Linked DNA regions of Callithrix jacchus. The protein of the gene in region 1 interacts with the protein of each later gene in a biochemical or structural test. Links are inferred from orthologs where the notes say so. Each region holds a gene or a part of one and is shown in the gene's direction. Other genes may lie near its edges.

Evidence for each region.
Region 2: the proteins of LRRK1 (region 1) and BAG3 form a complex in vitro, tested with the Homo sapiens proteins (2 studies listed by BioGRID and IntAct, with this or other methods). The link is inferred for Callithrix jacchus from reciprocal best matches to the Homo sapiens genes LRRK1 and BAG3.
Region 3: the proteins of LRRK1 (region 1) and BAG1 form a complex in vitro, tested with the Homo sapiens proteins (2 studies listed by BioGRID and IntAct, with this or other methods). The link is inferred for Callithrix jacchus from reciprocal best matches to the Homo sapiens genes LRRK1 and BAG1.

The regions. Positions count from the first base shown.
Region 1 is NC_133507.1:8,916,991-8,919,345, reverse strand, and holds the end of LRRK1 (leucine-rich repeat serine/threonine-protein kinase 1), read left to right. Parts: coding exon of another isoform or gene 1-66; exon of another isoform or gene 67-271; intron 272-580; coding exon 581-1,043; 3' UTR 1,044-1,795; downstream 1,796-2,355.
Region 2 is NC_133513.1:113,172,096-113,175,850, reverse strand, and holds the start of BAG3 (BAG family molecular chaperone regulator 3), read left to right. Parts: upstream 1-880; 5' UTR 881-1,194; coding exon 1,195-1,374; intron 1,375-1,446; exon of another isoform or gene 1,447-3,755. UniProt on the Homo sapiens protein: Co-chaperone and adapter protein that connects different classes of molecular chaperones including heat shock proteins 70 (HSP70s), e.g. HSPA1A/HSP70 or HSPA8/HSC70, and small heat shock proteins (sHSPs), e.g. HSPB8.
Region 3 is NC_133502.1:140,449,936-140,453,590, reverse strand, and holds part of BAG1 (BAG family molecular chaperone regulator 1), read left to right. Parts: intron 1-855; coding exon 856-938; intron 939-2,974; coding exon 2,975-3,088; intron 3,089-3,655. UniProt on the Homo sapiens protein: Co-chaperone for HSP70 and HSC70 chaperone proteins. Acts as a nucleotide-exchange factor (NEF) promoting the release of ADP from the HSP70 and HSC70 proteins thereby triggering client/substrate protein release.

The DNA.
Region 1 (2,355 bases):
TCACCCCCAAATGCAAGCCAGATTCTGTCTGCCCCACGTCCCAAGCTTGTACTTGGCATCACCTGAAGCCACACTGCTTTGTAGGCACCAAACTCGCCCTCTCCTACTCCAGGAAAAGCCCAGCCCCGGGCCTCACAGAGCCAGGGGAAGGGATCTCTTCACACCACACTTAGAAATCGTATGGGCCTCCAGTCCCAGCTACCCAGGAGCCAAGGCAGGAGGATCCACGGAGCTCGGGAGCTGGAGGTTGCAGTGAGCTATGATCACACCAGCTTTCTAGCCTGGGTGACACAGCAAGACCCAACTCTTAAAAAAAATCATACAGGAAATGACTAATGAACTCGACTCCATGAAACTGAAACTTACATGGAAAAATTAGTCCAAAGCTTGAAAGTATCGATTGAGGAAGAAAAAAATATTTGCAACACAAATGAGAGACCAAGAGCTCACTTACCTTTATTAGAGAGAACATAAACTCAATAAGAAATAGAAAACCCAAAAGGCAAACAGGTTAAGGGCATGGGCAGCAATTGAATTACAAAGAAACAGACCCTTAAACATCAATGCTTGACCTCACCAGACAGCAAGGAAACAGACCTGAAGACTTGAAGACAGCAGTAAAATGTCACTTACCACCCTCGGATTGGCAGAGATTAACCGGCCAGCAACTCCTTCTTGAATACCTACTAAGTGTCAGGCACTGTCACTGGACACACAGACAAGAATCTTTGTGGGGTTTTTTTGCATGTTTGTTTTTGTTTTTGAGACACAGTCTTGCTCTGTCACCCAGGCTGGATTGCAATGACACCATGGTCTCAGCTCACGGCAACCTCTGCCTCCCAGGTTCGAGCGATTCTCCTGTCTGCCTCAGCTTCCCGAGTAACTGGGACTACAGGCACGTGCCACCACACCTGGCTAATTTTTACCATGTTAGCCAGGCTGGTCTCGAACTCTTGACTTCAGATGATCCTCCCGTCTCGGCCTCCCAAAGTGTTGGGATTACAAGTGTGAGCCACTGTGCCTGGCCGAATCTCTACTTCTAGGAGCTCACAGGAGGAGTTGACAATAAGCACCCAAGCACAATAGTAGAGCAGCCAGCTGGACCACCCAGTGGGGGACCTGGGGGCTTGGCCTCGGGCTGCTACATTTAACTGAGGCTGGGAGGCTTGCACCCTGCACCAGGAGGTACAATATGAGACTGAAAACTGAGGGCACTAGGTGCAAGGACCTTGCACGTGCAAAGGCCCTGTTGTAGGATCAAGCCACTGTGTGGGAGGGACAGGAAAGCCTGGCGTGGCTGAAGCCTTGAAGGAGGGGAGGAAGCATGGCCCTGTTCGCACAGAATTGCAAGTGTGGGTCCCCACTGAAGCTCCTGGCAGTTTTAAGCAGGATTATTACATGTAATCATCTTTACAAATCACTTTGCTGAATGGAGGATGGATTAACAAGGGGGTAGTTGGAAGTTGGGGCTACCCCTTGGAGGGCATTTTGGCCTTATCTACCCAAGTTTCAAATGCACATACCCTCTGACCCAGCAGGTCCACTTAAGTATTCGTTCCTAACTATTTATAAAGGGGCCCAGGGATACAGAACAAGGATGTTGATTCTAAGAACAAGCATCTCTTAGAATATGGCCCCAAACAGGAAGCAACCCGAACCTCTATCAGGAGGGAAGTCATAAAATTCCTGCATGTACAACAATACGGTACTCTGCAGCCTGTCAGAGGCAGGCAGTGCTAACTGCGCTGGTCTGGAATGTTCTCCAAGATATAATAAATGCATTTTTTTGAAAGCAGCTTGCAGTGCAGTGTGTATTGAGTTACCATGTGTGTAAAAGACACTGTAGAGTTCCACGTGTATGCACAGGGAAAATATTCCACAGGACACCCACAGACGTGGCAGACACTGGTCTCCTCTTGCAGGGAGAGCTGAGGGCTAGCATAGAGGAGGGAACCGTTTATTCTGATCGCACACCTTCCTCTCTGCACCCTGAGTTGTGTGCGTGCCTCATGATGGAGGGAGGTAGGCTGGGAAGGGCCTCTGTCCTGAGTCCTACAGGTGCCTCTTGGCCTTGGTCTCCAGAGGTAATGGGGTGTACCCCTCTGTCTGCATTCCTATGTGGGTGTCTGACTCCATGGAGGACAGGTCCTGGGGAAGGGCTGGGTCCCCTAACAATCCTGTCCATCTGACTCCATGCTCCTGGCTGAACCAGAACCTCCCTGGCTGTCTTTGGCATAAAGGCACAGAGTCCCAGCCGAGGTGGGTGGACCACGAGGTCAGGAGTTCCAGACCAGCCTGGCCAACATGGTGAAACACCACATCTACTGAAAATACAAAATTAGCTGGGCGTGGTGG
Region 2 (3,755 bases), on another chromosome or scaffold:
TTAGGAACACTTATTCTAATTTAATGGAGGTGTTGCCCAATTCTAGAATCACAAAATCAGTTAAGATCTTTAAACTAACAATAAAAGTTAACAAATAAAAACAAACAAAAAGATCTTTAAATTAAAAATGTTGTCATTTTCTCCTTTGGCAGGTTACAAGTGCAACCTCCATTCAATGAACCAAGCGAAAAAATGTCACGGTTAGGTTAGGTCTTTACTTCCCAAATGAGGGTCAAGATGTAGGATAGCAAGAACCAACCTCTACTATAAAAAAGATCCAAACCCAAGAGAATGTGATTTTTCTGTAAAGCTGTTTACTACAACGAAACTTTCTTTTTAGTCTGGGAGACTAAAAACCATCAGCTGACACAATCTTTTTTTCCTTGAAGTTTCCAAAGAAAGGCAAGTGAGTTTGCACTGACTTCCATTTTCTCCCTGCCTTCCTGCTAGTGTCAGATGAGCGTCCCCGCGCTCCTCCCAGGCAGCCCTCAGTGTCCCGGGCTGTCATATATGGGGGAGGGGATGGGGTGGGTGAGATGGCTTTGTTTGTACAGAAAGGAGGGGCGGCAGGCACGGGGAGGACCGGCTCCGGCCCAGGGAAAACTCACTAGGCGCTAAGGAGAGGGAGGGAGGGAGTGTGAAAGCCGAAACCCGCCCAGGGCGCACGGAGGACGACCCCAACTCAGTGCGTCCGGCGTCCCATCCGCAGTCAGGCCCCGAAGGCGCGCCCGCGGCCACTCCGGCCGGGGCACGCGCACTAGGAGGCTCGGGGAGGGGCGGAGGGAGGCGGGGGAGGGCGGGGAGGTCGGGGACGAACGAGAGGGCCGAGGCCCCGCCCCCGCCCGCCGCGATTATAGCCGATGACTCAGGGCGGAGCTCCGCATCCAACCCCGGGCCGCGGCCAACTTCTCTGGACGGGACTAGAAGTTTCTAGCCGGCCAGTTGCTACCTCCCTTTATCTCCTCCTTCTCCTCTAGCAGCGAGGAGGCTATTTCCAGACACTTCCACCCCTCTCAGGCCACGTCACCCCCGCCTTTAATTCATAAAGGTGCCCGGCGCCGGCTTCCCGGACACGTCGGCGGCGGAGAGGGGCCCGCGGCGGCGGCCAGGCCAGAGACTCGGCGCCCGGAGCCCGCGTTCCGCACCCGCGCCCCGGCGGCCCCCGCTCCGGGCCGACCCCAACCCCTACCCAGCATGAGCGCCGCCACCCACTCGCCCATGATGCAGGTGGCGTCCGGCAACGGTGACCGCGACCCCCTGCCCCCCGGCTGGGAGATCAAGATCGACCCGCAGACCGGCTGGCCCTTCTTCGTGGACCACAACAGCCGCACCACGACGTGGAACGACCCGCGCGTGCCCCCCGAGGGCCCCAAGGTGAGCCGGGCCCGCGGCCCGCCCTGGTCGATGGCGCCACCTCGACGGCGGGCGGCGGGAAGGGGGCCGGGCGGGTGGGACGCGAGAAGCGGGGCCCGGGGGTCGGCGAAGGCCCCTCTCAGGCGGACACCGGCTCCGCGCCCAGCCACACATTCCCGCGGCTCCCGGACGAGTCCCTGCTCCCGACCCGCCCTTGACAGGCGTCCGGGCCAAAGGAGGCCCCGGGATCCGGTGGCCCGGGAACCGTCCCCGCAGTGGCCCCTGTGCCGTCCGCGGCTCGACTCCAGGACGGAGGGCCGGGTGTCCGGCGCTGGCCTAGCCCTCCCGAGCTTGGAGGAGGGCAGCCGGCTTGGTCGGCTCCGGAGGCCGCAGTCCCTGCTGCCCGCTTGGCCTCCGGGCCCGGGACCCGCGGCGCACCCCGCTGTCCACGAACGCGAGGGAGACACAAGCTTGGATGGTGGTTTTGGGGGATTTTTACCTCTCAAGTTCCCTAACTTGGTTGAGGGATGTCTTCACTACTGTCCCATCTGAGGCACCCAATGACTCAGGAAGCTGGTGTCAAAACATTTATGCCTGTGTGTGTGTGTGTGTGTCAAATTAAAATTGTATTATTGTTTGAAAGTGCTTTGGATCTGTATGTATCCTATTATCACTTGTAAAATTAAAAACGGGGTGCATTTCTCCCCAGCAGTTTCTAAACTAGACGGGAGACTGTCTTACAGTTGGCCATTGCATTACCACATTGCCTCACCCTGGAGAGAAAGAGAACGATAATGTGTATGTTTATAATGGCATTCGCTTCCTGCCTTGTTATGGTATTAAAATACTTAGGATTTGTTACCAGTACACAAATAACTGAGTAATGATACTCTTGTGAATATAGCAGAAGTATGTCTCATTTACATATATGCAAGGATATATACTTTTTAATCCCCAAGAGCATGAAATTTGAAAACATAAGTTTGGAATGAGTCTGTTAATTTTCAAAAATCATACTTATACTATTCTTTCCATTTTCTGTAAATTTGAGCTTTCAAAATAAAAAGGTTTTAAAAATAATTATGTTATACTTAAAACGTAATTGTGACTGCTGTCTGGGCAAGATAGAAGCAGCAAAAGAGGTGATAAATTATTTTGAAGATTTAAAAACTCAGCAAATTAAAAATGCTTTGTATCTCATGATTTTAGAAGAAAGACCCATATTATTTCCCTTCATTTTTATACACGTTCTGTTTTAACAATATTGACAAAACTCTGGTTCCCAACAGTGAGATGGTGTACAGTCAGCAGTTTACATTTACGAGAGATTAATTGTATATTTATTCTTGAAAATTAATATAAGAGGCTGTAATTAGCTGGGATGGGCACAGTTAAATATACCTTTTTGGGTGTCCAACCCATTTTTGGGTGAAACTGACGCTCATTTCAAACCCCCTTTCTTAGCAGTCTGCGTGGATGTACATGATCTTTAGTGTGGTTTACAACTATTATTTTGAGGGCTTCTTCCTGTAGACATAGGGACAGTAGCATTTGCTGGCAGCCTTTGTTATGAGTGAAGATTAAGTTTGAATGTAAACATTGTCAGTACTTTGTTCTCAGCATGAAACTTACCCAGCAAGTTGAGATCTTCCTGTACCCACCTGGTGCCTGGGTTAGGCTGTGGTTTCCTAAACCTTAAAAGGAAAAAAGCAGGTTTAGTTACCATTATTCTTCTCAACAAATAGAAAGTAAGAACTACTAAATCAGAAGTCTGATGCTGGAAAGGTTTATTTGAAAATTTCACAGTGAAAATGTTAAAGTTGAAAGGTCCTTGAAGATCTTTTAGGTAGGCTTCTTTATTTTCTGAAAAAACCTGGAGAGTTCAGGTGTGATTTTTGAAGGTCACCCAGCTAGTACCGATAGCAGGGAGAGTACTGATGTCAGGAGAGTCCTCATAAGAGGCAGTGTGTCTGTTCAGAAGGTGGAAGTGAATGTTTTGTGAAACCGTGAAGCATGCAGGCTAAAATACTTGATTACCTTTGTGCCCTCCTGGCCACCAAGTTATTGGGTCACTGACCTCTGTGCTGTGATTGCTTGGATTTTGATGATGGGACATGATCAACTCAAGAAGAGAATTCTCGGGCTGGAGGCAGTGGCTCACGCCTATAATCCCAGCACTTTGGGAGGCCGAGGCGGGTGGATCACGAGGTCAAGAGATCAAGACCATCCTGGTCAACATGGTGAAACCCCGTCTCTACTAAAAATACAAAAATTAGCTGGGCATGGTGGCGTGTGCCTGTAGTCCCAGCTACTCGGGAGGCTGAGGCAGGAGAATTGCTTGAGCCCAGAAGGGGGAGGTTGCGGTGAGCCGGGATTGCGCCATTGCACTCCAGCCTGAGTAA
Region 3 (3,655 bases), on another chromosome or scaffold:
GGGAAAGACTTATCCCATTGGATATCAGTCATTATAAAGAATTTAGTAATAGGAGGCATTTTTACTTATATTTCATAGTGTAACTTATTGTCTTTAATTTTTAAAAATATTTTGTTTCTGAATTGACAATAGAAATTCGTGTTTCAAAATAGAGAAAAGCATGAGGAAGAAAATGTTCCCATGGATAAAACCCCTTATAATAACACTGTGTCATCAGCATTCATTGTGGCCTTGAAGTTTCCTGCAAAAAATGAGCTTTAATGCCTACAAAGTCTTTTTTGTTTTTTGCTTTTTGTTTTTTTGAGATGGAGTCTTGTTCTGTTATCCAGGCTGGAGTGCAGTGGTGCGATCTCGGCTCATTGCAACCTCCACCTCCCAGGTCCTCAGCCTCCCAATTAGCTGGGACTATAGGTGCATGGCACCACACCTGGCTAATTTTTGTATTTTTAGTAGAGATGGGGTTTTGCCATGTTGGCTAGGCTATTCTTGAACTCCTGACCTCAGGTGATCTGCCCACCTCAGCCTCCCAAAGTGCTGGGATTACAGGTGTGAGCTACCGCCAAAGGCTTCTGTAGCGTGGTTCATCAGCCCCTGGTTCCTGAATATTTGGCTCTTTCTAGTTTCTTGTGAAAAGGTTGCATGGAATATTATTGTATAGTAGTTACTGTACAGATGCATGTCCAATTATTTGTTTAGGATAAATATCTAGAGCTGAAATTACTGGGTCAAGATACCTTCTAAAAAGATACCAATTTTTATTAGTGAACACACGTCTATTTCCTGTGTTCTTGCTGAAGTTTATTTTTAGTGTTGTACAATTATTACAACTTGGCCTACCTTTCTCTTTTTTTTTAGGAAAATCTCTGAAGGAAATGGAGACACCACTGTCAGCACTTGGAATACAAGACGGTTGCCGGGTCATGTTAATTGGGAAAAAGGTAAATTGCTTTTTCCATCAGAAATCCTCAGAATCAAATGACTAAAGTCTTTTATACATGTTTCTGTTTAGAAGACCAAATTTGGGACCCAGATTCTGCATTGATAAAACACCTCTCTAAACAAATACAACCTTTATTTCTTTTATAGGATTACCAATTTTGTTCTCATACCCTCCTGCTCCTGTTGGTTAGACCTTTTGCTCTAGAAATTAGGAGCAATTGTGCTGCCTTAAATATGTTTTTTGTTTTGGTGGTGGAATCTCGGACTGGTTAAAATGGTGCCTGGGAGAGGCCTCATTCGCTTGGAGTAGAATTTGCAAGATACCTTTTGTTAAAATAAACTTGTAGATATTAAGAATAATTACTCTGTGACAATTCAGGAGCCTCTTTCCCTTTAACCAACCTTTTAACTAAAATCTCCCACAAGGAAAAACCTTTGACTGGAAAGAGAGGTTCAGATTAAAGAACTGAGGGGAAAAAAAGAGTCAGTTGGTTACAGATGAAGTCAGCAACCCTTAAGGTGATGAGAGAGGGCTGGCACATTGTGACATAGCAGAATTATTGAGCATATGAAGTTCCCTTATTTTGAGTGAGATAACTGAGTAGAGAGAGGGCAGAGATTAGTAAAGTGAAAACAAAGAAAATCTAGACTTAGAACTGCCAGGAGACTGGAACTCAGGACTTAGCTACAATGAGGAAAGAATAATTTGGGATACTGTAACTAAACAGACAGCTGCTAGACCTAGCTACCAATTGTTCGCGTGAGAGAAGGGGGAAATATTTTAAATTTCTTGTTTTAGGGTCAGGAAGAATGGTGATGGGCAATAGGCAGAACTGAAGGGTCAAGTTTGAAGAAACTATAGGACTTTTACTTGGAACTGACAAAGAGGGTATGGAGTGAAGTGTGAACTCAGGGAGGGCACCATGGCACATGTCTATGGTCCAGCAACTCGGGAGTCTGAGACAGGAGGGTCACCTGAGTCCAGGGCTTTGAGGCTGCAGTGAGCTATGATCATGCCTTTAAATAGCCACTGCACTCCAACCTGGGTACCAGACTAAGACCCTATCTCAAAAAAAAAAAAAAGTCTAAACTTAAGTCTACTCTACCTCTTTTGGACTGTGTGATACCATCTTTACTGCATTAAGCCTCAGTTTCACCATCTGTAAAACAGCAGTACCTCCCTGATAGGGTTGTGGTAAGGCTTAAAAAAAGTAGTATGGTAATATGCTTAGGATAGTGTGTGTCATGTAGGGAGTATTCAGTAAAAGTATTCATCATTGTTAACCAACATCATATTAAAGAGGAGAGCTCAATTGGAGCCTGCCGTTTAGGAATTCCATTTAAAGGAATAGTAGAATTCTGCCTGTCTTGCCATTCTGGACTCCTCACAAGTGTTCACTGAAATGTGTTTGCTCTCCAGGCTTCAGTCCCGGTTGTTGATCAGACTAGGACTGAGACTAAATCTGGCATTTGGATTGTCTCCATTCTCAGCACCCAAGCTGTCAGGGCCCTCACCAGAATGTTTACCTAATACCTTCTCTCTTGGAGTCTTTGTAGATGGAAAACTTGATCTATTACCCTTTGACTTGCTTTCCAAGAAGCAACAGAGTTCAAACCATTCTTTCTAGGTGAGTGGTTTCATGCAGTTGTGGTCAGATATTTTTCCTGACAGAGGCTAGTATTCTTGTTGATTGCTTTTTCTTTTTCTTTTCTTTTTTTTTTTTCTTTCTTTCTTTTTTCTCTTTTTGAGACAGAATCTTGCTCTATTGCCCAGGCTGGAGTGGAGGTTCGTGATCTTGGCTCACTACAACTTCCACCTCCCAGGTTCAAGCCGTTCTCCTGCCTCCGCCTCCCAAGTAGCTGGGACTACAGGTGCACACCACCACGTCCAGCTAATTTTTGTATTTTTTAGTGGAGATGGTGTTTCACCATGTTGGCCAGGCTGGTCTCGAATTCCTGACCTCAAATGATCTGCACACAAAGTCTCACCTGTTCTTGTTGACTGTTGACTTTATTTTCTTCTTAAACATTTTAGAACAGTCCAGAGGAAGAAGCTGAACTAAAGAAGTTGAAACATTGGGAGAAGTCTGTGGAGAAGATAGCTGACCAGCTGGAAGAGTTGAGTAAAGAGCTTACTGGAATCCAGCAGGTAACTCTCTTCATGGACCTTGACTTTGTGCCTTCTGTCAGAGCTTCCTAGATATACCTTATAGTTATGGGGACAGGCTCTGCCGTCAGACTCCCTAGGTTCAGATCCTGGATCCGCCCTTTCTCTTACTGTGAACAAGTTTATCTTTGTCTCAAGTTCCTCATCTGTGAAAATGGAATAATAGTGGCATTTCCCTCTTAGGATTGTTGGGGGGATTAAATATTGTAGATTGAGCTTGATACATACTAAGTGCTTTATAAGCATTTATTGTCATAGTTATTGCCAAACCCCAGCCAGCATCCATCTGTGCTCACAGGAGAGCACCTGGCATGCTAGGATTATATATTGTCTAAAGTAGAACAAGTAGCTTCTCCCTGTCTGGGCTGTTGTAGTCTGTTTGGCAAGGCAAAGAACATTTTGCTGATTCATAGAAGGTCCAAGTTGAACATGATAGTGGGGTTGGGAGAGTCATCCTATTCAATTCTTTATATTAGAGATGGGGTACTAAAACCCAGCACAGATTAGGACTAGCTCAAGACCACATATTTCTTTTTTTCTCTCATTTTG